Linked DNA regions of Yarrowia lipolytica. The protein of the gene in region 1 binds, or shares a complex with, the protein of each later gene. Links are inferred from orthologs where the notes say so. Each region holds a gene or a part of one and is shown in the gene's direction. Other genes may lie near its edges.

The links. Proteins that work in one complex are often made in the same cells at the same time.
Region 2: YALI1_F12983g (region 1) and YALI1_F21279g share a complex: the UniProt entries of both Saccharomyces cerevisiae proteins name them as parts of the U4/U6-U5 tri-snRNP complex. The link is inferred for Yarrowia lipolytica from reciprocal best matches to the Saccharomyces cerevisiae genes SNU23 and PRP18.
Region 3: YALI1_F12983g (region 1) and YALI1_E17583g share a complex: the UniProt entries of both Saccharomyces cerevisiae proteins name them as parts of the U4/U6-U5 tri-snRNP complex. The link is inferred for Yarrowia lipolytica from reciprocal best matches to the Saccharomyces cerevisiae genes SNU23 and DIB1.
Region 4: YALI1_F12983g (region 1) and YALI1_A19974g share a complex: the UniProt entries of both Saccharomyces cerevisiae proteins name them as parts of the U4/U6-U5 tri-snRNP complex. The link is inferred for Yarrowia lipolytica from reciprocal best matches to the Saccharomyces cerevisiae genes SNU23 and SMD3.

What each region holds. Positions count from the first base shown.
Region 1 is NC_090775.1:1,295,632-1,300,389, forward strand, and holds YALI1_F12983g (uncharacterized protein), read left to right. Parts: upstream 1-2,745; coding exon 2,746-3,201; downstream 3,202-4,758. Other genes in the region: YALI1_F12951g (uncharacterized protein), read left to right, coding at 1-471; YALI1_F12969g (uncharacterized protein), read left to right, coding at 1,351-2,361; YALI1_F13001g (uncharacterized protein), read left to right, coding at 4,541-4,758. UniProt on the Saccharomyces cerevisiae protein: Participates in pre-mRNA splicing. Part of the U4/U5/U6 tri-snRNP complex, one of the building blocks of the spliceosome.
Region 2 is NC_090775.1:2,125,011-2,130,844, forward strand, and holds YALI1_F21279g (uncharacterized protein), read left to right. Parts: upstream 1-2,895; coding exon 2,896-4,011; downstream 4,012-5,834. Other genes in the region: YALI1_F21261g (uncharacterized protein), read right to left, coding at 1-1,092; YALI1_F21315g (uncharacterized protein), read right to left, coding at 5,169-5,834. UniProt on the Saccharomyces cerevisiae protein: Component of the U4/U5/U6 snRNP, binding principally to the u5 snRNP. It is not absolutely required for the second step of pre-mRNA splicing at low temperatures but is required at higher temperatures.
Region 3 is NC_090774.1:1,755,608-1,760,612, forward strand, and holds YALI1_E17583g (uncharacterized protein), read left to right. Parts: upstream 1-2,750; coding exon 2,751-3,182; downstream 3,183-5,005. Other genes in the region: YALI1_E17574g (uncharacterized protein), read right to left, coding at 1-1,769; YALI1_E17594g (mitochondrial 54S ribosomal protein bL31m), read right to left, coding at 3,420-3,842; YALI1_E17613g (uncharacterized protein), read right to left, coding at 4,045-5,005. UniProt on the Saccharomyces cerevisiae protein: Essential role in pre-mRNA splicing. Also essential for entry into mitosis (G2/M progression) as well as for chromosome segregation during mitosis.
Region 4 is NC_090770.1:1,994,599-2,000,046, forward strand, and holds YALI1_A19974g (uncharacterized protein), read left to right. Parts: upstream 1-2,791; coding exon 2,792-2,836; intron 2,837-2,936; coding exon 2,937-2,997; intron 2,998-3,413; coding exon 3,414-3,625; downstream 3,626-5,448. Other genes in the region: YALI1_A19965g (uncharacterized protein), read right to left, coding at 1-1,847; YALI1_A19989g (uncharacterized protein), read left to right, coding at 4,279-5,448. UniProt on the Saccharomyces cerevisiae protein: Plays a role in pre-mRNA splicing as a core component of the spliceosomal U1, U2, U4 and U5 small nuclear ribonucleoproteins (snRNPs), the building blocks of the spliceosome. Also binds telomerase RNA and is required for its accumulation.

The sequences.
Region 1 (4,758 bases):
TACGACTCGGATCTGTCTATATCCGAGGGGAGAGATTTTCAGGACGATCTACTGGTGATTGGCGAGTCTGGGGTGTCGGACCAGGCCGATGCTAGAAGAGCCGATATGGCTGAAGCCATCTACGAGGCGCAGTTGACTGCAAGTGAAGATGACGAGGAGGACAGGAGAGGATGGGAGAAGTCGCAGTTCCGGTCGTCGGGTGTATTCAAGGATGACTCCACGTCGGAAACTAAGTACCGGGAGTCCACTGATCACGAGGCTCATAATCTGGCGCTGAAAAAGCTGCATTCGGTGCCGGAGATTCCGTCTCTGACAGATGTAGTGGAGTCCATCAAGCAGCGCAAGGTAGACATGGACGCGCGCAAATCTGATCTTGAGCTGACGCTAGAGCAGTACCAGCGCGAGATTTCGCTCATTGAGGAGCGTCAGAAGGAGGTGGCCGATCTGGTCAACAAGCAGCTGGCTCTTTAGGGGTGTTTGTGATGGTTTGAAGGACTACGACGATTGTCAATTGCATTCTAACGACTATGAATGCACGATACTAGGCAGTACCTACACAGCTACAGTAGTTGACAACATGTCACACTGCCATTACAACCACTCAACCAACACACACACAGTCTACAAGTACAAGTACCGTACAAGTAACTGTAGGCCGTATCTTCTCTTCAAAGTTTGAGGTTGACTCCGTCACGACCAGTTTGCCTTTAGACATTGACTTGAGTGTTTAACCATGGATCTCCAAATTACGCGATAGACGCGACGAGCCAGTGACAATGACAAACGAGCCGCTCTGGGTGGGAAAAGAGGTGCTTCTGAAAAACAACACGAGCGAGCGACAATGGGACGGAAGAAACAACACATTTGCATCCCCATTTGTGTCTCTATCATTTACTTGTTCCTTCCACAAATCTCCACCACCGCCAAGGCTGGTCATGGTTGCGTCTGTCTATCTCTCTCTATCCTTTGGGCTCCAACTCTATCGGTTGCTTGGAATGTGTGTGTTTTTTTTTTTTTTTTTGGTATTGAACCAAAGAACAGGAGGAGTACTTGTAGTGCCGGGAGACCGTGGGGCTGACGTAATGAGTAATGTATATCACGTGACAAGTCCGACAAGACCACAAATCGGTTTCACCAGGACTCTGTTACAACTACAGTGTACTCGTAGTTTTATTAATGTTGCTTCCCCCTGACCAAACGCACCATTGTCAAGGTTATGACCTCCCACGTCAACATAAAAAAAAGCCGTTGTGAGAAAGGCAGCGTGTATATATATAGTCGTGTGCTCCCCCGTTTTGTTTCCACTTCCCTCTGTTCACCAATGGAAAGTCCCAGTTTTCGCGCACGGCCATGTTTGCTCGTTGTTCTGCTGCCTGTGCTGAGACCGTCGCCCGCCGGTACTTAAGAGCTGCGGCGGTTTACACGCACCCTGCAGCTCCGTCAAATTTCACTCCTACAGCAAATCAAGCCCGGACACCACCACACACAAACATCATGTTCCGAAGCCGAATCTCGCACCTGGCCCGGACCATGGGCCGAATGAACCGCCCCAGCCCCATGGCCCGAAAATACGCGTCCCACGAGCTGCTCCAGGGCGCCATGCCGACCCCTGTCAAGCTGGTGATTGCCTTTGGAGCCACCACCGCCTTCTTCATGTGGGCGGCCAAGCAGCTCGACAAGAAGCCCGTGGTGGCCGAGATCACCGAGGAGGACTACAACCAGATGGTCCAGCAGACCAAATCCAAGTACAAGAAGGCCGCGTTTGGCCCCAACGAGGTCTCCGTCATCTTTGTGCTAGGAGGCCCCGGAGCCGGCAAGGGCACCCAGTGCGAGAAGCTGGTCAACGAGTACGGCTTTGTGCACCTGTCTGCCGGTGATCTGCTGCGAGAGGAGCAGTCTCGACCCAACTCGCAGTACGGCAAGCTCATCGCCGACTGCATCAAGGCGGGAGACATTGTGCCCCAGGAGGTGACCATTGGCCTGCTCAAGAACGCCATGAAGGAGAGCGTGGCCAAGGGCAAGACCCGATTCCTCATTGATGGCTTCCCCCGAAAGATGGACCAGGCCCTCAAGTTCGAGGAGGACGTGGCCGTCTCCAAGTTCACTCTCTTCTTCGAGTGTCCCGAGGAGGTCATGCTCAAGCGTCTGCTCAAGCGAGGCGAGACCTCGGGCCGAACCGATGACAACATCGAGTCCATCCGAAAGCGGTTCGTGACCTTCATCGAGACTTCCATGCCTGTCGTCGACTACTTTGAGACCCAGGACCGAGTCGTGGTTGTCGACTGCAAGCAGGACCCTGACGTGGTTTACGACAATGTTAAGGACGCTCTTCATGCCCGAGGCATTCACCTTAAGCAGTAAATAGATATAGATTGAGATACTGACTGAGATTGTAGTGTAGGACAGGACCCTGGGATGGTACAAGTCTTTCTGGGGGAAGGTAACGCGACTAAACGACAATGGGTGTTTCTCAATTGTATATATAACTGATATGTAGTGCTTTCAGTAGGTTTCTTCCTGTTTTCAGTTGTTTGGATTGTTTTGATATCCCCTCTCTGTCATTACAGTAGTTATTCAATGAGTGTTTGCTTTGTTTTATATTTTTCACCTAAGTATAAATCGAGTAAACCCCCTTTTTTTTTAACTAAATACTTACATCCAGACCACTCTACGATAAAGTTCACCCATCCACCTGCATATCATGGATATTTTATTTAGCCCATCATCTCATCTTTCACCTCAAGCATGTCGGCAAGAACTGAGCGGATCGACTTCAACGAAGGGTTGAACACTCTCCAGCTGGTTCCCGCCACGGCCTCGGTGGGAAGACGAGGAAAAGGAGCTGGCTTCTACTGTGAAGTGTGCAACCTCACATACAAAGACTCCATTCAATGGATCGACCATCTCAACAGTAAACAGCACTTGTATGAGATTGGAGAGACGGACGGACCCCGACAATCGACGCTGGAGGATGTTCAGAAGCGGCTCAAGTGGCTGACGGAGCGAAAACGCGCCCAGGAGAAGGAGTTGGACTACGATATCAACGCTCGGATCAGTGCCAGAAAACAGTTGATTGAGCGACAGAAGAAGAAGAAGAAGGATCGAAAGCGACAGAAACGAGAGGAAAAGGTGGAAGAAGGAGCTGACGACGAAATGATGGCCGCCATGGGCTTTGGCGGGTTTGGAAGTACAAAAAAGTGATTTTAAGGGCGCCAGAACATTTCACTGTACGGATAGCTCGTGCTACACAGCACATCAGCACATTAGCACCACACACAAGCCACGGAACTGCACAAGCGTTTAACGCATAGGATACACACGTCTAATACTCGAACGGTCTTCCAGGGCAAGTCGGAAGTATCCCAAATCTACATCTGAGTGACCAAGTCTACATCTGAGTGACCAAGTGCTCATTTAATGGACTTACGACACTGCTGTAACAGAAGCACTCTAGGTGAAGCTACGGCAGCAGTCCTCTACGAATGGAAAGTTGACCAGCTAAAATTGTCTATATCACTACGTCCCCCAGTCACTTGAAAGGCTGATCTCAACTGTGAAAGAGATGACCACCTCTGCCAGCATGGTGACAGCAACTACTGCACTTGAGGACGTACACTACTCGCACTCGTACTGTACTCATACTGAAAGATTTCTTGGCAGCAGGGAGTACGACAGGGTGATCGCGGTGGTTATCAGACGGCTTATCCCGCATACCTTCCGACGTCTACAGCCTATGGACATGATCTATAGCGCTATGAAACGGTTGGCGTCAATAATGGGTCATTCTACAAGTACTCGCCTACTGTACGTGTGTACAACCGAGAGTAGTCTTGCTACTTAAACGACAGCACACAAGAGATTTACACTTGTACAATAATTATAAGACAGCACCCTGGTAAAAATGTCCATTATGACATCATCGGACATTGCATGTGGTCCAACATGTAGTCCCAAATAAACTGCTTACTGTAGCTACAATATGTACTTGTACTAGCAGATAATGGTGAAGAGAAGACAACAAATACGAGGACTTGTACTGAACTCGCACCCGTCGACGGACTCACGGTACTGCTTAGTCAGCTATATGGCAACTCTCCGGCCTGGTCTCCACTCAAAAAGAGATCTACACCGTTTCTATGAATCTAAGAGATGGAAGGCAAGTAGACAGACAAACAACATGTGTAAGACCGGGGACGAGTCATACCATTATACTTGCTGCCAAGAGGAAAAAAGCCCCAAACCACAGGCTCGAAAACTCAAACCATTGCTCTCGTGTGTCTGCTCGCGCCCCGACACACTCCCGGTTGCCTCTCCATCCATCCCCCTTACATATTGTATCATACAAGCGGTATATTTGTCTGTGCGGGAGGCGTCTTCCGACACTTTACCCTACCGGTGTGCGGTGGAAAAAAAAAGTCAAAAAGCCAGCAGTGTCCTGCAGAAAAAGCGTAAGTTTAAAATTTCAGCAGAGGGCAACAAGACGAGACTCTCGGCACCTAACACTCTGGATAGTCAACTTCGGATCTTTGAAAACAGCACAATGTCTACTTTATTCGAGGATTCCTTCAAAACCACGTCTGTGGACTCCGCCCGATACGACCGGGTCTCACGAATAACCGCCCAGAGCCTGAATCATGACGACATCCATCTGACTCTGGATGTCAATACAGAGCTGTTCCCCATGTCCAAGGGCGACGTGGTGACCGTGGCTCTGGCCTCCCAGCTGACCGACAAGGAGACCACCTATTCTGGCTGGAG
Region 2 (5,834 bases), about 830 kb from region 1:
AGTCTCCATCTCAACATCATCGTCATCATCGTCTGCACCATCGTCTTCCTCCTGGGCACCTGCAGAATTGGACAGCTGCTTGTACTCCTGTTGCAGGGAGTATTTCATGGCATAAGGACCAGACTTGTTGAGAACAGCCATGCTATCGAGTACCTCTCGAAGGTACACTTCAGGCTGCTTGGTTCGTTCCTTAAGACCCTTGAGCGACCAGTAGGGGTACTCTTCGAACAGCTTGAAGAGGATATCCAGAAGCGCAGATCGCTCGATCCGAACGGCCTTTCCGTCCAGCTTGATATCCTTCTTCTGGGCCTTCATGAAGTGCGACTGAGAGCCAGTGCCACGCAGGTTGGGGGCATTGGAAGAAGCCACCACGCCGGGGAGGTCGTTGAGCAGAGTGACTCGGGCAGCAGGAGGCTGTTGCAGTCGCTCCTTTCGCTTCTGAATGACCTTTTTGTAATTTGCGTCCTTGAGTGACGGCACAACTGTGCATTCGTGGATTACTCGGCCGGCCAGCGCCGTTTTCTTGGGGATTGTTCGTGCAAATGGAAATGCTGATGGCTTTGAGACCTTTCCTGCTGACGATGACGCTGCCGACGACGACGAGCCGGCTCCACTACTGCCGGCCTCCTCCTTTTCTTTTTCCTTTTCCTTCTTCTGCTCCTTCTCCGTGAACACAAACGTGTTGTTGACCACCTCCTTGACGATATCCAACTCATACTCATGTGGAATCTCACTGTTTTCGGGCGTATCACTTAGGCGCAAAGACACCTTTTGTTTCTCGCCGGGAGCTGTGTTTTCCTTGATCAGCACCTGGCCGAGTCGCTTGTTAGTGTGTTCATCCAGATGGCTCCACTTGTCCACCAAAAACTTGGGCAGTCGCACCAACCATACCCGGTTTTCGAGTCCCGCAGTATCCAGGTCGAAAGATCCATCGTCGGCATCAACAGGAGGAGGAGGAATCTTAACATCTTCCTCTTCGGGCTTGACCTCAGATTTCACGTTCATCTTGTCTGTGCGAATGTCGTGAGGAAACGATGATGGAAATGTATCTATCTCGATCAGCGAAACCGCCAAAGTGCTGAGGTTCTGCATATATGAACTTTCTTGGTGAAGTTTAAATATGGTACCGTAGGTAATGTATGGACATGTACCTAATGATGGGTGATTGAAGAGTTGCGGGTATAGTTTTTCCGAGATATTCTTCTCGAATTACTGGTATATATTTGCTAGACTACCTTTTTTCAGTTTTAATGGTCATTGCATGCCCCAATTGTGTGGTCGTGGTGACAGTTTGGGTTGCTCTCGATGGTCAACTATAGAGCTGTCAAACGAGAGGAATAACAGTTGGAAAGTTAGTTGAAGTATGAGATGCTCCAAGTTCGAGTTCTGTTCAAGTCGATTCAAACAAAAGCCCCATCTTGACACCAGTTTGGGTCCTCTTTGTGTGCTATAATACGAGTATTAAAGAGGATATTAATCAGCTTGGCCAGTAACGAAGGTTGAGGAAGGACTTCGGAAGGCTCCAATACCCCATTGTTACTAAGCATTAATGCAAAGCATTATTACTAAGCAAAAAAACTTACATTGTCGCCACCTTAGTAAGCTGCAAAAAACAGAGATTGCAGCACCCAGGATTCTCGTATGGTCTCCCACTACAATACTAACTAGGCTCTCTGGTGCTTGACTATGGCTGATCGGACGGGAAGCCGTATTTTCACCAGGATATGGCCGCAACCGTTAGGACCAAAAACCGTTAGACTGTTTTGAGAAGACAGATTAGTCACGTGATCGCAAAAGTTGGTGTCAATTTTAGACCCTTTGAAGGGGGATTTTTGGTATAAGAAAGGGATATGTATGCTAAGCATGACTCTGCGCATGTCTCTGTGCCACTCGCAATCAATGATATCGACGAAATATGTTGAAATTGAGACATATTATGATGTTTGGGGTGGATTGTCCAAGTTCCCACTGTACGCACGAGTATGTACTGTATTCTGGAATATTAGCAATAGTACACACGCAATTGGGCAGCAGAATGATCACAAATGTGCAATTCAATTGAATTTGACCCCATAACCCTCTCCGTATCTCTCGCGCGCACATCTGCACCGGATCTCCACCTTCATGGTTCCGTTTCTTCCCGCATGTGCTGCTTTGTCGATCAATACAATCAGCCGAGGGTCGGCAATCACATTGGGCGTTCTCATAACTGTTGATCCGCTAGCAATAGAGGTCAGCTCACCTTTTTGCCTTTGATCTAACCCAGAAGTCTCGGGTTCAGGCACCCTGAGACACACAGCTCACCTATACCTGCGCAGCAGAGTTCACCGCCGTTAGACCGAACTGCAATCAAAGTAACTTTCCGAGGAAGAGTTGAGGGGAATATGAGCGGTCTGTCAGTGAGTGTAGAAGAGACGTATGTAAGAATACATGTACACAAGGTCGAGTTCATCGATGTATCTTAGGTAGTGGCCTCGAGAAGAGATTCAGAGCTACAAGATGTTGTTTCTGGACGGCATATTTCGAGTGAAGGTCAGAGTTACTTGCGCTTAAAACTAACTAGTTCTATTGTCCTTGTTGAAAGTTACTTAATATGAACTGAAAAAATCCCATTGGTTGAGTGTGAGGAGAAGTTCGGACTAAAGCAACGAGACGTGGGCAAGAGCGTTACAAGGATAGTATGGAGTCTTCCAAGAGTGTGAAAATTGCATGTTTGTATCGGAAAAAGGTTTTCTGACTAAGCAACTGCCTCGATTTCTCATTTTCAAGGCGACTTGGTGGTGTCGCCTACCTCTCCATATCTGGTCATGGTCGTGCCTCGATAAAGTTGGCAGAGGAAAAAAAGAAGAACGCTGTTTTTAAGGTTGGCACAAAATGTGTTCTGCAGCTGCATAGATGTATGTGCAGCATCGCAAAAAAACGCTACTTCATTCACAACACACAAAAATGGATTTTGCAGCACTGATTCAGGGCGAAATCTCCAAGAAGAAAGCTGGAACGGGAGTGGCAGACTACGGCTGTAAGGCAGCGGCTCCCAAGCCCGCCCAGACGACAGTTTCCGACAACTCAGACGACCTCAAGCGCCTGGAACGGCTGAAGCAGATGAAGCGACAGAGAGAACTTGACCGGGAAGAAGAGCGACTTGAGCGAGAAGAGGCCAAGAGAGCCAAGCAGGAATCTTTGGCCAAAGCACCAGCTTCCACAACATCTACCGTATCGACAGAGCATGATGTGGCAACATCGGAACCAATAGAGACAGTGGAAGAAATGGCTGCCAATGACGCGAGAACAAACGTGCGAATCGACTGGAGTGACGTAGCCACAAAGAAGGATGCCACAAGGGATTCGGAGACCAAGAAAAAGCTCGCCATGCAGCTGAGAGTGTTTCTGGCACGGTTATTGAGTGAATGGGAGGGTACTTTGGATAAGGGAGCTGCAGCCCAGGCCAGTGGAGCGGCCGAAGAGGTCTCCGAGGCAGCAAACGCTTACAAGCGACACACTATCTTCGAAGAAACGCAGACCTCTCTATCTTCTCTCATGGTCTTATTACGACACAATGGTCTCCAAGACGAAGTTCTGGCTATGCTTTCAAAGGTCATGTACCATGTGCAACATGAGGAACACCACCAGGCCTATGATGTCTATCTTAAATTGTGCATTGGAAACGCCTGTTGGCCCGTTGGAGTGGCTTCCATTGGCATTCACGCTAGAGCGTCTCAGAACAAGACTATTGCTTCAGCCCGAAACTCGAAGCAGGTGGCACACATTGTCAATGATGATACGAGGCAGTGGCTTGTGTGCATTAAACGGCTATTGACCTTTGCTGAGGGCTACGAGAGTTGTGTGAGAAAGGCTTTGTTGACTGTTGTGGATATGGAGGATCGGGGGAACCGAGTCAACGAACCGCGAGGAAGGGATGTCAAGGGGACAGTCCTGGAGGAGGCTGGGGTTGATGGCAATTCCGAGACTGACCAGAATGCTGAGGTTGAACAGAAGGAAGCCTCTGAGTAAGTAACCTCCTGTCCTGTGCTCTGCATCATGGGTCGTGTGTTGATTGCTAGAGAGAAGCTGCTTCCACCCATTAAATTATTAATCATTGTATTTTTTGCATTTTGTTGTCTGTTTTGTGAAATGGTTAGTCAGAGTCTCGCCGGGTAGCATTGTATTGTTCTGTCTTGCAATGTAGAGCTACAAGCCGTGGGATTGCAGTAAACCAGATCTGTAGACAAGAGGGTAGCAAGACTCATACAAGTAGAACTGCCGGGGCACACAATACATTTTCGGATTGTGTCAGCTCTTCTTTTTGACTTACTGTCCGTCTGATTACACCATATTCGGGTTGACAATGTCAACTCGTTGCAAGGATGTGTTCTGACAGACATGACAAAAAGGCATACAAAACCAAATGAGGAGCTTGGTTAAGAGCACAAGCTAGATTGATCTAAAAGATTTCATTCTTTTTCTTTTTTTAATCCCCCTCCTTTCAGATCTCTTGAAGATGCCATATCTGTTTTCCCCAATTGGACATGTCAATAGAATCCATGCATGGAAGGTCAAAAATTTCCTGAACGGGAACGGACAATGAATCACAGAGATGATTCTAGACAAGACCAGTATCGAAGCAATTTGGTAATCACCCAAGTTCATTGACGGATCTGTTTTGAAACGTGAATGTGACAAAGCCTCCCTGTTGCCTTATGTCTATAAGTAACAGTACAATCCCTCCCGTGAAGTCCATCAAACAGAAAGAACCACTACTACAACAACTAACACAATGAGCAAGGCTATCCCTCGAGCATATGGCACCGACTCCTACCGAGTCAACTCCAACGTTACAATTGTTGGCGGATACCGAACCTTCCAACCCTCCTCTTGTGTGATTGCCTAACCGAGAGTCGAGTTTCAAATCGCACACATGTTGGACATATCGATAATTGATTGGACATATCAAAAAATGACTACCTATGTAGGCTAGTAGACCATGACGTAGTTGGGCCCGCGATAACATACAGAGACATGCTCTTGAATCTTGGTTCTATTACACATACCTAAGAATACATGAGTTGTACTGTGCAAGACAATGCCTACAAAGCCCACCCCGACGATAATCAATAAAACAAATGCATTACTCTATCACCTCCTTCCCATCATTGTTCCCCATTGGCCGTCTACTTTCGGTTCTTCTTATTACTGTTAACGTATCGTCCTCGACCAACCTTGACACCAGTATGTCTGGTAGCTTCTCGAGCAGAACCAGTGGCAGCAAAGGGAGACATGACATTCTCGGCAGAGCCTCCTCCGATCCAATGATCGAGAATCTTCTCGTTCTGTCGACGCTTCCATTCGTCGCTCTTGATGGCCTTGGCGTACTCCTTCTGGTCCTCTCTCAGCAACACATCGTTGAACTCGGGCTGTCGCTGGTGTCGACTGTTCTTTGACTGGGGCTTGGGCAGAGTGTACTTGTTGCCTCGGGTCGACCAGTTCATCTTCTTCTTGAGATGCACCTGGATCTTGCCGTCGTTTCCAACCGTGACGGAACATCGCATCAGCGTGTTTCCTCCACACTTGGGGCAAAAGTGCTTGACGCTACCGTCCTTGGGATAGGGCAGAAGATGGAAACATCCATGGCATCGCAGCATGGAGTTTCGGATTCGCTGAATCTGTCGGCCATTGGTAGCGTTCACAAGAACCATGCCCATCTTGAGAATGACGTTCTGCATGGCAAAATCACCCGTAGAGGTGGCAGCCAGAATATGTTCAGGTTCGACATCGTCGTCAACAACCTGTCCGGCATCCTTGATAAGCGACTCCTGCAAGTTCTCGGGAGTGATCCA
Region 3 (5,005 bases), on another chromosome or scaffold:
ATTTCGTCGTTTCGGGCGTATCGCTTACCGATAGAGGCAGAAGAGTCGTCGACCTTGGCGGAGATTCGGGCCTGTCGCAGCTTCTTGGAGACCTCCTGAGTGAAGGGGGCCAGCTCCTTCTGGGAAGAGAGAGGAACAACAAGAACCTTAGTGGGGGCAATTCGAGGAGGGAAAGAAAGCACACCCTTGGCTCCGGAGGCGTCCTCGGGTCGAGTCCAGAAGCAGTGCTCGATCAGAGAGTAAAGGATTCGTCCGATACCGAAAGAAGGCTCGATGACGTTGGGAGTGTAGTCTCGAACGTGGGTGGTGATGGTCTTTTTCTCAATCTTGATGTGAGACTTGTCAAGCTCGGTGCCGGCAACCTCGACACCCTCAATCTCGGGCAGGACGATCTTGCCGGCCTCAAGAGCCTTGGCAAGATCCTCAAGCTCGCACTGGGTTCGGGACTCGAACCACTCCTCGACGGGCTTGGCGGCCTTCTTGAGCAGAGGACCAAACTTCTTCTTGTCGTATTCGCAGACAAACTTGTCCTCGACGAGAGGAGCGTCGAGCTTCTGCTGAACCTGCAGCTTGACCTTGGTTCGGGCCTCGTGCACAGACAGATCGTAGGCAGATCGGTCAGCACAGCCAACACACTCGATCCAGCCGTAGGAGGTGTGCAGCTCGGCATCCCAGCAGTCGGTGGCGTAGTGGGCCATCTCGTTGGACATGTGCTGTCGGAATCGGAGTCGGTCGGGGTTGACACCAATCTTGATCAGGAACAGGTAGATTCGAGCAAGGAAGTATCCGAGGGTCTTGTTGTCAACGAGACCGGTCTCAACGGCCTGGCCGATGGTCATCTCCTGGATGTCGGTCTTACCAGCGGACTGGACATCCTTGGCGAGGAATCGCAGCTTGACGTCCTTGACCTCGTCGAATCGGTGGTGGTCCTTGTCCAGAGGGTCGACAAAGTGCTCAATCTCGGCCATGGTGAACTCTCGGACTCGCAGCAGACCGGATCGGGGGGAAATCTCGTTTCGGAAAGACTTACCAATGGAGGCAGAGGCGAAGGGCATCTTGGTGTTGTTGCAGTCCAGCAGCTTGTTGAAGTTGAGGAACTGGCCCTGGGCGGTCTCGGGTCGCAGGAAGCCCTTGAGCTTACCGGAGGGGCCGATGGCAGTCTCGAACATGAGGTTGAACTCCATGGGCTTCTCAAGGGGACCGCCGGTGACGGGGTTGACGATCTTATACTTGTCCATGATCTCACCAAGCTCGGGGCCGGAGAAACCGTCAATCTTGGCAAGAATGGTCTCGTACTCCTCCTTAACATTGTCATCGAGCTTGATGGCCACAATCTCCTTGACCTTCTTCTTTCGCTTCTTGGCGGACTCGTCCTCAACAACGTCCTCCTTGATGCCTCGGGCCTCCTTGTCTCCCTTGAGTCGGGCCTCGAGCACCTCCTCGACCAGATGGTCGGCTCGGAAAATCTCGCCGGAGGCCAGATCTCGGCACATCCAGTCGGCAAACTTGTCCACGTGGCCAGAGGTCTTCAGAACCTCGTGGGGAGTCAGCATGGTGGTGTCGACCTCGAGCATGTCGTCCTCGAGCACAAAGTGATCTCGCCACGTGTCGATGATTCGGGTCTGGAGAGCACATCCAGGCGGGCCGTAGTCGTAAAGACCGGAAACACCGTCGTAGATCTCAAAGGCTGGGGCGTAGAAGAACCGTCGCTTGAGGACGGCATCAAGAGTCTCTCGGTTGAGCTCCTGGTCGGCGGGTCGGGTGGACATTCTAGCGGAAAAATTCGAACTGACTGAGAATTGACGTATAAAATGGGGGGTAGGAATCAGCTTCCTACGTAGCAGATTTAGTGAAGTCACAATGGCAGTAGTCGTAAGAGTGGACTGGAGTTAAATTTTCCAAACTTTGCACTCTTGTAAAAAAAAACAACGGGGTTTGGGAGTAACAAGAAAAGGGTGCGTGAAAGTGACCCCAGCGCAGTATGCATTTGCTGTCAATGAGAGATAGATGATAACGAGTCCCTCGTACAAGTCGTAGAGCAGGCGTGACTACACCGGAATTGTGTTTCCCGAGAGCTTGAATCCCATCACACATCTATAACAAAGAAAAGACGTCACTCTTTGTGACTCACCATGTCTCATCCATCACCCGTACTCGTACTTACATGACCCCCTCCGACAGGCCCTTCCTAGAGCCAGAATTAGTTCCTGCCTCAGATCATTGAAGGTTCTAGTGTGTCAATAAACACCAAAAGGGACCGACTGGACGCAGACATAGACAGACTTTGAACTACTTGTTGGACAATGCCATTCCACAGGGCTCGTTTTTTCTCGCCCGGTATCCCCTATGGGTTCATATTCGGCGATATTCCGGGCCTGTCCAATTGAGTTAGTCAGGGTTCCAGAGCATTTGAACAATGCAATGTAGAGTTTGAGGTTTGTACCCATATACGAAAATGTACTGGAAAATCAAATAACTTGGATATATGGTGGGTAGAGTGCCAGATATATAGCTATTGGGGGAATTTACCACATTTATGTTTTCCCGCGTCTGATCAAGTTATATTGTAAATCGAGTTGATGCACTTTTACTTGTATTCCTATTTAATTTGTATTCTATTTTATTTATATTATATTATATTATATTATATTCTATTTTATTTTATTTTTGTATTTTCCCACAAACCTCCCACTCACGTGACCTAAATATATCCCTACCTCTGCACCAACTCAGCACATTACACACACATCATGGGATCTATCTTGCTGCCTCACCTGAACACGGGCTGGCACGTGGACCAGGCCATCTTATCGGAGGAGGATCGACTCGTTGTCATTCGATTCGGCCGAGACCACGACCTCGAATGCATGAAAATGGACGACCATCTGTACTCGGTGGCGGAAAAGATCAGAAACTTCGCGGCCGTCTACGTGTGCGACATTGACCAGGTGCCCGAGTTCAACCAGATGTACGAGCTGTATGACCCAGTATCGGTCATGTTTTTCTACCGAAACAAACACATCATGTGCGACTTTGGCACCGGAGATAACAACAAGTTGAACTGGGTATTGGAGGACAAGCAGGAGCTCATTGACATCATCGAAACAGTCTATCGTGGAGCAAGTAAAGGTAAGGGTCTGGTGGTCAGTCCCAAGGACTATAGTACCAAACACAAGTTTTAGAGAAAGGTCTACTTGTCCACGACGGGATAACTCTGCATCATAGAAAGATTAGTAATTTATATGTAATATAGCCATAACTACGACGTGAACGGGAGTTCATAGCGTGCACCATGTGTTTGAGGAATGTATGCCATGTCTTTACAATCCCCTACGTACTCAGATCATCCAATAATATGCTGGTTACTATGTACTGTTTTTGCGCTACCAACGCCTTCTCCGTGTCTCCTTCTACGTCGCCTATTTCTTCTTCTTCAGGTCGGACTTCTTCTTCTGGACCTGAACTCCAGACTTGGTCTCGACGAAGTCCTGACCCAGCAAATCGGCAAAGTCGTCGTCGACCTCGCCGAAACCAAACTTCTCGTTGAACTTGGACATCTGCTTGCCCTCCTCTCCAGAGTCGGTCTTGAGCTCGGGCTTGTTGGGGTTCCAGAGATGCACGTTTCGCTGATCATTAATGGGCTTCAGCTGCTCCACGGGGGCCACGGTTCGTCGCTTGTAGGTGGAGCCGTCGGACAGCTGGACGGTGCACTCAAACTCGTGGAAAACGGGAGCGATGGTCTGTCCGAAAGCGAGTCGCTTTTGTCGCTTGGGCGCTCGCAGAATCGAGGCGTTTCTGGCGTTCTTGATTGTCGTCAGGGGGACGGTAGCTCGCTTGAACATGTTTGTGACTGTGAAGTGATGTACCGTGATCCGAAAATTCACTAACACAGTTTGGATGTTGCAGGGTTAGGTTTTTTTCAGACGAGGTAAAAATCAGCTATACAGGGGGTCGTGAGTTCGACTCTTTGGTATGAGCATAACAAGAGTGCTTCTTAAAAATACATTAAATACCGTAAAATACATACAAGTTGTACAAATAGTACTACCATTCCTTGTCCTCGTCCTTGCCCTCGCCCTTGCCCTCGCCATTGCCCTCGCCCTTGCCCTCGTCCTTGCCCGTATCCTTATCTTTATCCTTATCGTCAATTCGCTGCTGAGAAATACCCGACAGGTCTCGCAGGCTCTTGACGTTGTTAAGATGAAGACTGAACATGTTGAGATCAGGGTCCTCCACAGGGGGCTCCGAAGAGGATTCGGTAATAACAGCCGCCTCTGTAGTCTCGGGCTGCATCTCGGGGTCCACAACCTCCACAACGTCCTCTTCGTCGTCCTCAGCAACCTGATTCTCTTCAACATCACCTTCAGGTCGCTGCTCTTCCTCGGCGTCAAAGATGGCCTGCACGGTTTCGTTGGAGTTCTCCCTAAGAATAGTTCCTCGGACCTTGGCTCGGAGAGCCTTTCGAATCTTGCTGATGTCATTGTACTCGAACCAGCCGTCCAGAACGTCGTACTTGGCTCGAACAGGGGCACTGTGGATTTTCTCGTACAAGAGAGGGTCAGTAATGTCGCACAGCTGCAGAGTTTGCGACTCGGGAGGATGAATTCCGTCAAAGACATACGGCAGGGGAAGTGCCTTTTGAGCAGCAGGCTGAACGGGAGGGGCAAGACCGGCCAAGTCATCCTCCACCTTCTCAGTCTTTTCGTCTTGGTTGTCGCTGATTCGAAAAGCTTCTGTCTGGTAGAACCGCATGCTGGGGTCAGTTCTGGGGTCCTTTCCATATACCACATAGGCTCCTCTCCAGGGTCCAGATCGGAAATAGTAAGCCACATAGGGCAATGCGAATCTGAGAATGTGTTTGAGCTCGGGGTTGTTAACGTAATGACGCAGTCCCTGGCGAGTCCAAAGAGGCCGTTCTCTGAAGAGCTCCTGCAGCTCATCCACACATTGTCTGAGTAGCTTCTCGTGCACCTGTTGGGCGGGTTTGCCGGAGTAGTCACGTCTA
Region 4 (5,448 bases), on another chromosome or scaffold:
TAGTTCAACAGAGCAGGAACCATTTTCGTGGGGTCAATCTCCTTTCCTATCACAATCCACGTGTCAACGGTATCTCTGGGAGCATGCACCAGCAGAACCGTCGAGTATTTGTACAGCAATGCACGGTCTTCTTCAGCCTTGACCTGTCGAAGCACCTGAAGAGCCTTGGACCAGTTCTCCAGACCAACCCAGTATTGCAGAACAAAGTTGTAATCCTGAATAGCTGCAGCGTAATATAGCAGCTCCTCCTGTCGGCCGTTGACGCTCATGATCTCAAACACGGTTCCCTTATGCAAATCGCCCTTGTATTTGGTAATAAAGTCGTGGAACTTGGTCGACAGGATTCGACGCTGCTCATCCAGAGGGGAGTCCGAGGTGGCCTCCTGATCATCCAATTTGTTGAACTGCTCCATAAACAACTCGATGATCCATGTGGACACAAGCAGGCGTTGAGTGACATTGGCCTTGGGAAAGACGGTCAACTTGTTCTGAAGGTACTTGAGCAGTGCCTCAGGCTGGTTCGCATCCAAGAACAACAATGCAGTCTGTTCCAAGGGGCGTCTTCGCGAGTTTCCATAGGTGTTGGCTGCTCCAAGATAGTCCTTCTCTTGGATTTGCTTGTCTCCCAGAATACCTAGCAGTTCATCCTGAGAAGAGGGATCAGGGTCGTTTTCAGACAACCGCATAGCCTCGTCCAGATCACCCTGTTCGAGCACCAGCTTCCACATTCCTCGAGACTCGTCGTCCACAGTGATTTCGTAAATGTTTTCAGCTGAGAACAACCAAAAGGTGTGTTGTTTGGGGTCAACTGTGAGACCGGTAAGAGTCTCATTGCCCTGGGTAACATGCTGCTCAAACACCAGCTCATGAGAGAACCGATTGACAATATACAGCTTGGTTTCTGTAGCAATGGCCATATGAAAACTGGTCAGACACATACCCACAATAGAAGATTCCTGGATCTGGTTGAGAATGTAAATATTGGATCCTTGAAAGAAGGTCTTCCGTGACTCCAAAGTGTCATTTTCGTCCTTCTTGATTGTTCTGTGCACAATACCGACCTCTGAAAGCAGAGCAAAGGCCCAAGATGAGGACTTGGGGTCAGGAGGAGTGGCTGACAACATGGCAGCTCTTCCGTTATCGGCACCAAACTCCTGATCTACGTGTTCTTCACGCTCAAAGAACTTGGTGTAGACGGGAATACCGTCCTGCAGGTGGGCAGAGATCTTGCCAGAGTAATAGTAGGCATGTCCATTGGCGTTTGTCACAATGATTTTTCTGTAATTTGGGCTGGATCCGAGCTGAACAACGATTCCGGTGATGGGTGTCACCACGTGGCTATCGGCAGCTTTGAACTCGGCTACCTTGCGCACGTATCTGTCTTCCCGCTTGAAGTACTCGTCCGAGAACTCCAAGCATGTCTCGTAGACGCAGCCGTCTGCCGTTCCCAGTAGCACCTCTCCTGAGCTCAGAGAGCTTTCGATGGGGGACCATGCCACGCATGTGATTGCCAGGTCTCTCAATCGGCCCAGAGACTTGACCTTTGTCGTTTGGTAGTTGAGCACATAATTGTCGCGGGTCTTGGTGGCGATGAGTAAGTAGGAGCCGGTGGGGTCGAGAAACAGGTTCTCAATGTCACATCCGCCGTCCTTGACGTCCACGTCATCCACGCTTTCGGGGTTGTCGAGGTCAATTCGAATGATTCGCCCAGACTTGAGCGCCAGACAGAGAGTGTTGTTGGCCACCGCCAGAGCCACGATCGACGAGATGGCGAACTGGAACTGCACGGGCTCGACCGCAAACTTTTCGCTTTCCACAGCTCGGTTAGGTTCCGGGGGAAAGTCCATGCTGGTGCGATAATTACTTGTAGGGCTGGTGTTGGTGATGTGGAGCTGAGCTGTGCATGCAGATGTCCAGCGAGCTTAATGGAGGGTAGTTGGATGGAGTTCCATAGGACCTACAAAATGTGAATACAGTATTTGTATGAATGCTGGGAAGTAGATTATCTGTAGAAACATTCATGCTGATTAAGGGAGATGTGAGAATTACTTCTCTCATGGTCAGAAAGTTGACGATTTGCTTTTCCCAGCATGTTTCGGCCTGGCGCTATATCATCCTGGATATCTGATCTCTGTACATGGCTGATTAACGTCAGTTGATAGTCACCTTAAAATGTGAACAGGGGGATAAGACAGGCCAAAAAATTACATACAGTATAATTATACAGTAGCTACTTGTACTTGTACTTGTATAATTAAATGAATGTATATGCAGAAAAAAAAAATTGTACAATATACAGAATGTACAGTACAATACATACTTATATTATGTTATAAAAATTGTACAATTCACTTGTACAATATATGATGATACTGTATATAAATAAATAAAAAACCACCACGTAAAAACAAGACGATATAAAGACAACAATGTAGCCCAGTAATAAAAAAAGATGGTAATTTAGAAGAATGAAACACTGCTGAAAAAGAGATCAGACGAATTATCTAATTACAAGTGAACATACCATAGCTACAATAGTCACAAACTGGAACCCTTTTTCGTTCTTCTTCGTCAACTAATATTGACAGGAACTTGTTTATCTTGTCATAATCACGGAGAGCTCTTTCTCACCAATAATTCGGTTAAACGAAGCTTGTACCCCCAACAGTCAGCCATATATCGCATTTCGTAGCACTCTTCCCTATTCTAAAAGTTTAGCCTCGCCACCACTCCTCGTGTGCTACACCAACTCTATCCCGATGAACATTTCTGCAGCACCACACATCACACTATGGGAGCTGGCGGAATTCCATTAAAACTCCTCAGCGAGGCTCAGGTGAGTAAAGAAAAACAGAGGAGGAGTTGACATGATGCAGCAAATGGCGTATGGGCACGACTTTTGTGTCGCCACACACCCCAGAACATAACTAACACAGGGTCATGTTGTCACCGTTGAGCTCACTTCAGGACACACTTATCGGGGAAAATTGATTGAAGGTGAGTACAGAATAAGGGTATTGTGGCAACTTGAGGGATGTCAGCGGAGTCAGGACCTCGCTTCAGCTTGGTGTTGCTCGCTCGCTCAGAATCTCGCGAAGCTGGGTATCCATGTGATATTAAATTAGCACCATGTGATTGTGCCGCAGAGACCGAATTGTTCGTGGAGGTTAGACGACAGATAGGGCAAGCTGCTGAACGGAGCTTCAATGGAGCGGTTTACGCGGAAAGATGGACCATTTGTTATGTGTCGCTGCATTGATGGAGTTGAAATCGACCGTGGCTTATCAGAGGACGACCATAAGCAAGCATAAACGTTTCATTTCAACAAACGAGATCATGCGGCTCGCAGCTGTTTCTCAGAAACCTGGATATACTGCCAAACACTTTCCCCTTAGACCACCATACTAACTCAGCGGAGGATAACATGAACGTGCAGATTCGAGACGTGACCGTCACTGCGCGAGGAGGCCGAGTGTCGCATCTCGAGCAGGTTTACATCCGAGGATCCCACGTGCGGTTCTTTTCCATCCCCGAGATGCTGAAGAACGCGCCCATGTTTCGGCCTCAGACTCTGGCTGCTGTGCGAAGCAGCAGAGGCCGGGGCGGACGGGGACGAGGAAGATGATGTATGTATTTGCTGGCTAGATGTAATGATGAATGTAAAATAGATATTGCGAGCACGAGCACGATAGTACGAGTACAGCACAGGTATCGGTACTGTACTGTAACTTCTGTGGGAATTTTGTCTACAGTAGCAATATTGTAGGCCAAGTAAATATGGTCATGATAGAGTAATTATCAGGCTGGAAGAAAAAACGAAGGCGAGGGGTCCGTATAATGAGGGAGTACGAGACCAAATGGGCACGTATAATACTCTTAAGGTCTTATAATTCATCCATTACTATTTTTAAGACCTCGAATACATCTCAAATCATACAAATACATTCCCTAAATTTTCTTCACATTTCATCTCATCTGCAACTAATTAGTGGGGTTAACCCTAATGGTGTTTCTTGACTGTGTGTCAATCATTCATAGTCCCCAAATTGCTCCGAAAGCGATATGTTTTCGTTAAATAATTCACTGAAACCAAAAACCCAGGCTTCATTAAACAATTAATCATTTCATCAGTTCCTATACCTCCTTTTTCTCCGTGTCCTGTCATCTCAGCTTTTCCGGGGCTTAAGCACACGTAAATACCTCCCAACACCTTAATACGTTATCACGCATTCTGGAGTCGGCTACACGACTAACACATCACCAAACTCGCTCCCAAAAATGAACAAGGCGGCCATCTACGCCAAGTACAACATCTCCGAGGACTATCCGGAGACGTTTACGGAGAGCGAAAACTTTGATCTGTCGGTGCTGCCCGAGGCCGATCCTGCTCAAGAGACGAAATCAGGAGCAGCATCAGCGTCCGTCAACACCTCTCGATATGTGCTGCTGAACCAGCTCGTTGGCGGCAACAAACACAGCAGACACGCCATCACCGACGACGAAGCTGATCCACTGGGATTTTCGGCCTCGGTCATGACTCAATTACGTAAAAAGGGCGTCGATTGCAGCGAGTCTCCGGCCATTGCTAACCAGTACTTTATCTCGTCACGAGACTTCAATCCCCGAGTGTTTCTGCGAGACGTGCATGCGGACGCCTCTTTCGACACCCTTGCTCAATCGTTGGACCACCTGGAGGCTTCAATTACCGAGCAAAGCTCCGCCCTGCAAACCCTCGTGGACCGCAACTTTGACAAGTTCGTCAAGAGTAAGAGCTACCTGGACTCGGTATTCAAGCAATTCAAGTCGTCCGGGTTCACCCAGGAAAACGAGTGGGGCATGGGAGAGCTGACACAGTCGCTAGATGAAGGAAACAGCAAAGCTGCGATCCTGATGAATCCCGTCTTCAACACACGACTCAAGGAAGAACGGCTACAGGCTGCTCTGGAGATGGTGACGGCCAACAGATATCTCTTCGAGCTACCCTCGACAATCAGAGCACACATCAAGGCTGGAGACCATGAGAATCTCATGCGAGACTACAAACGAGGCAAGGAGACCAAGAACGAACGTATGGCACAGGCAGAGCAACTGGGAGACATGACTACCGTCCACATGACCGATAGAATGTGGAACGACGTGGAGGATATCATCGAGGAATACGAAAAGTCATGCTGGACGAAACTGGAAGCTGCTCCTGCTGGATCTCATCTCCCCAGTATCAGTAGGCTGCTAGAGCTTCAGGTTACCACAAACCCTGTCGTGTACTGGGTCAAGCATCGAGCTGCTGTGATTCAACAGGAGATCAATTCTACCTGCGAGAAGCTCATGCTCAGTATCACTATTGCTCGAACCGAGATTCTGGCTCTTCCAGAGAATAACACCGTGTGGGTGGAGAACATTATTGAGGAGGTTCGAGGCCAACCCTGTGCTCCTCCAAGCACAAAGATG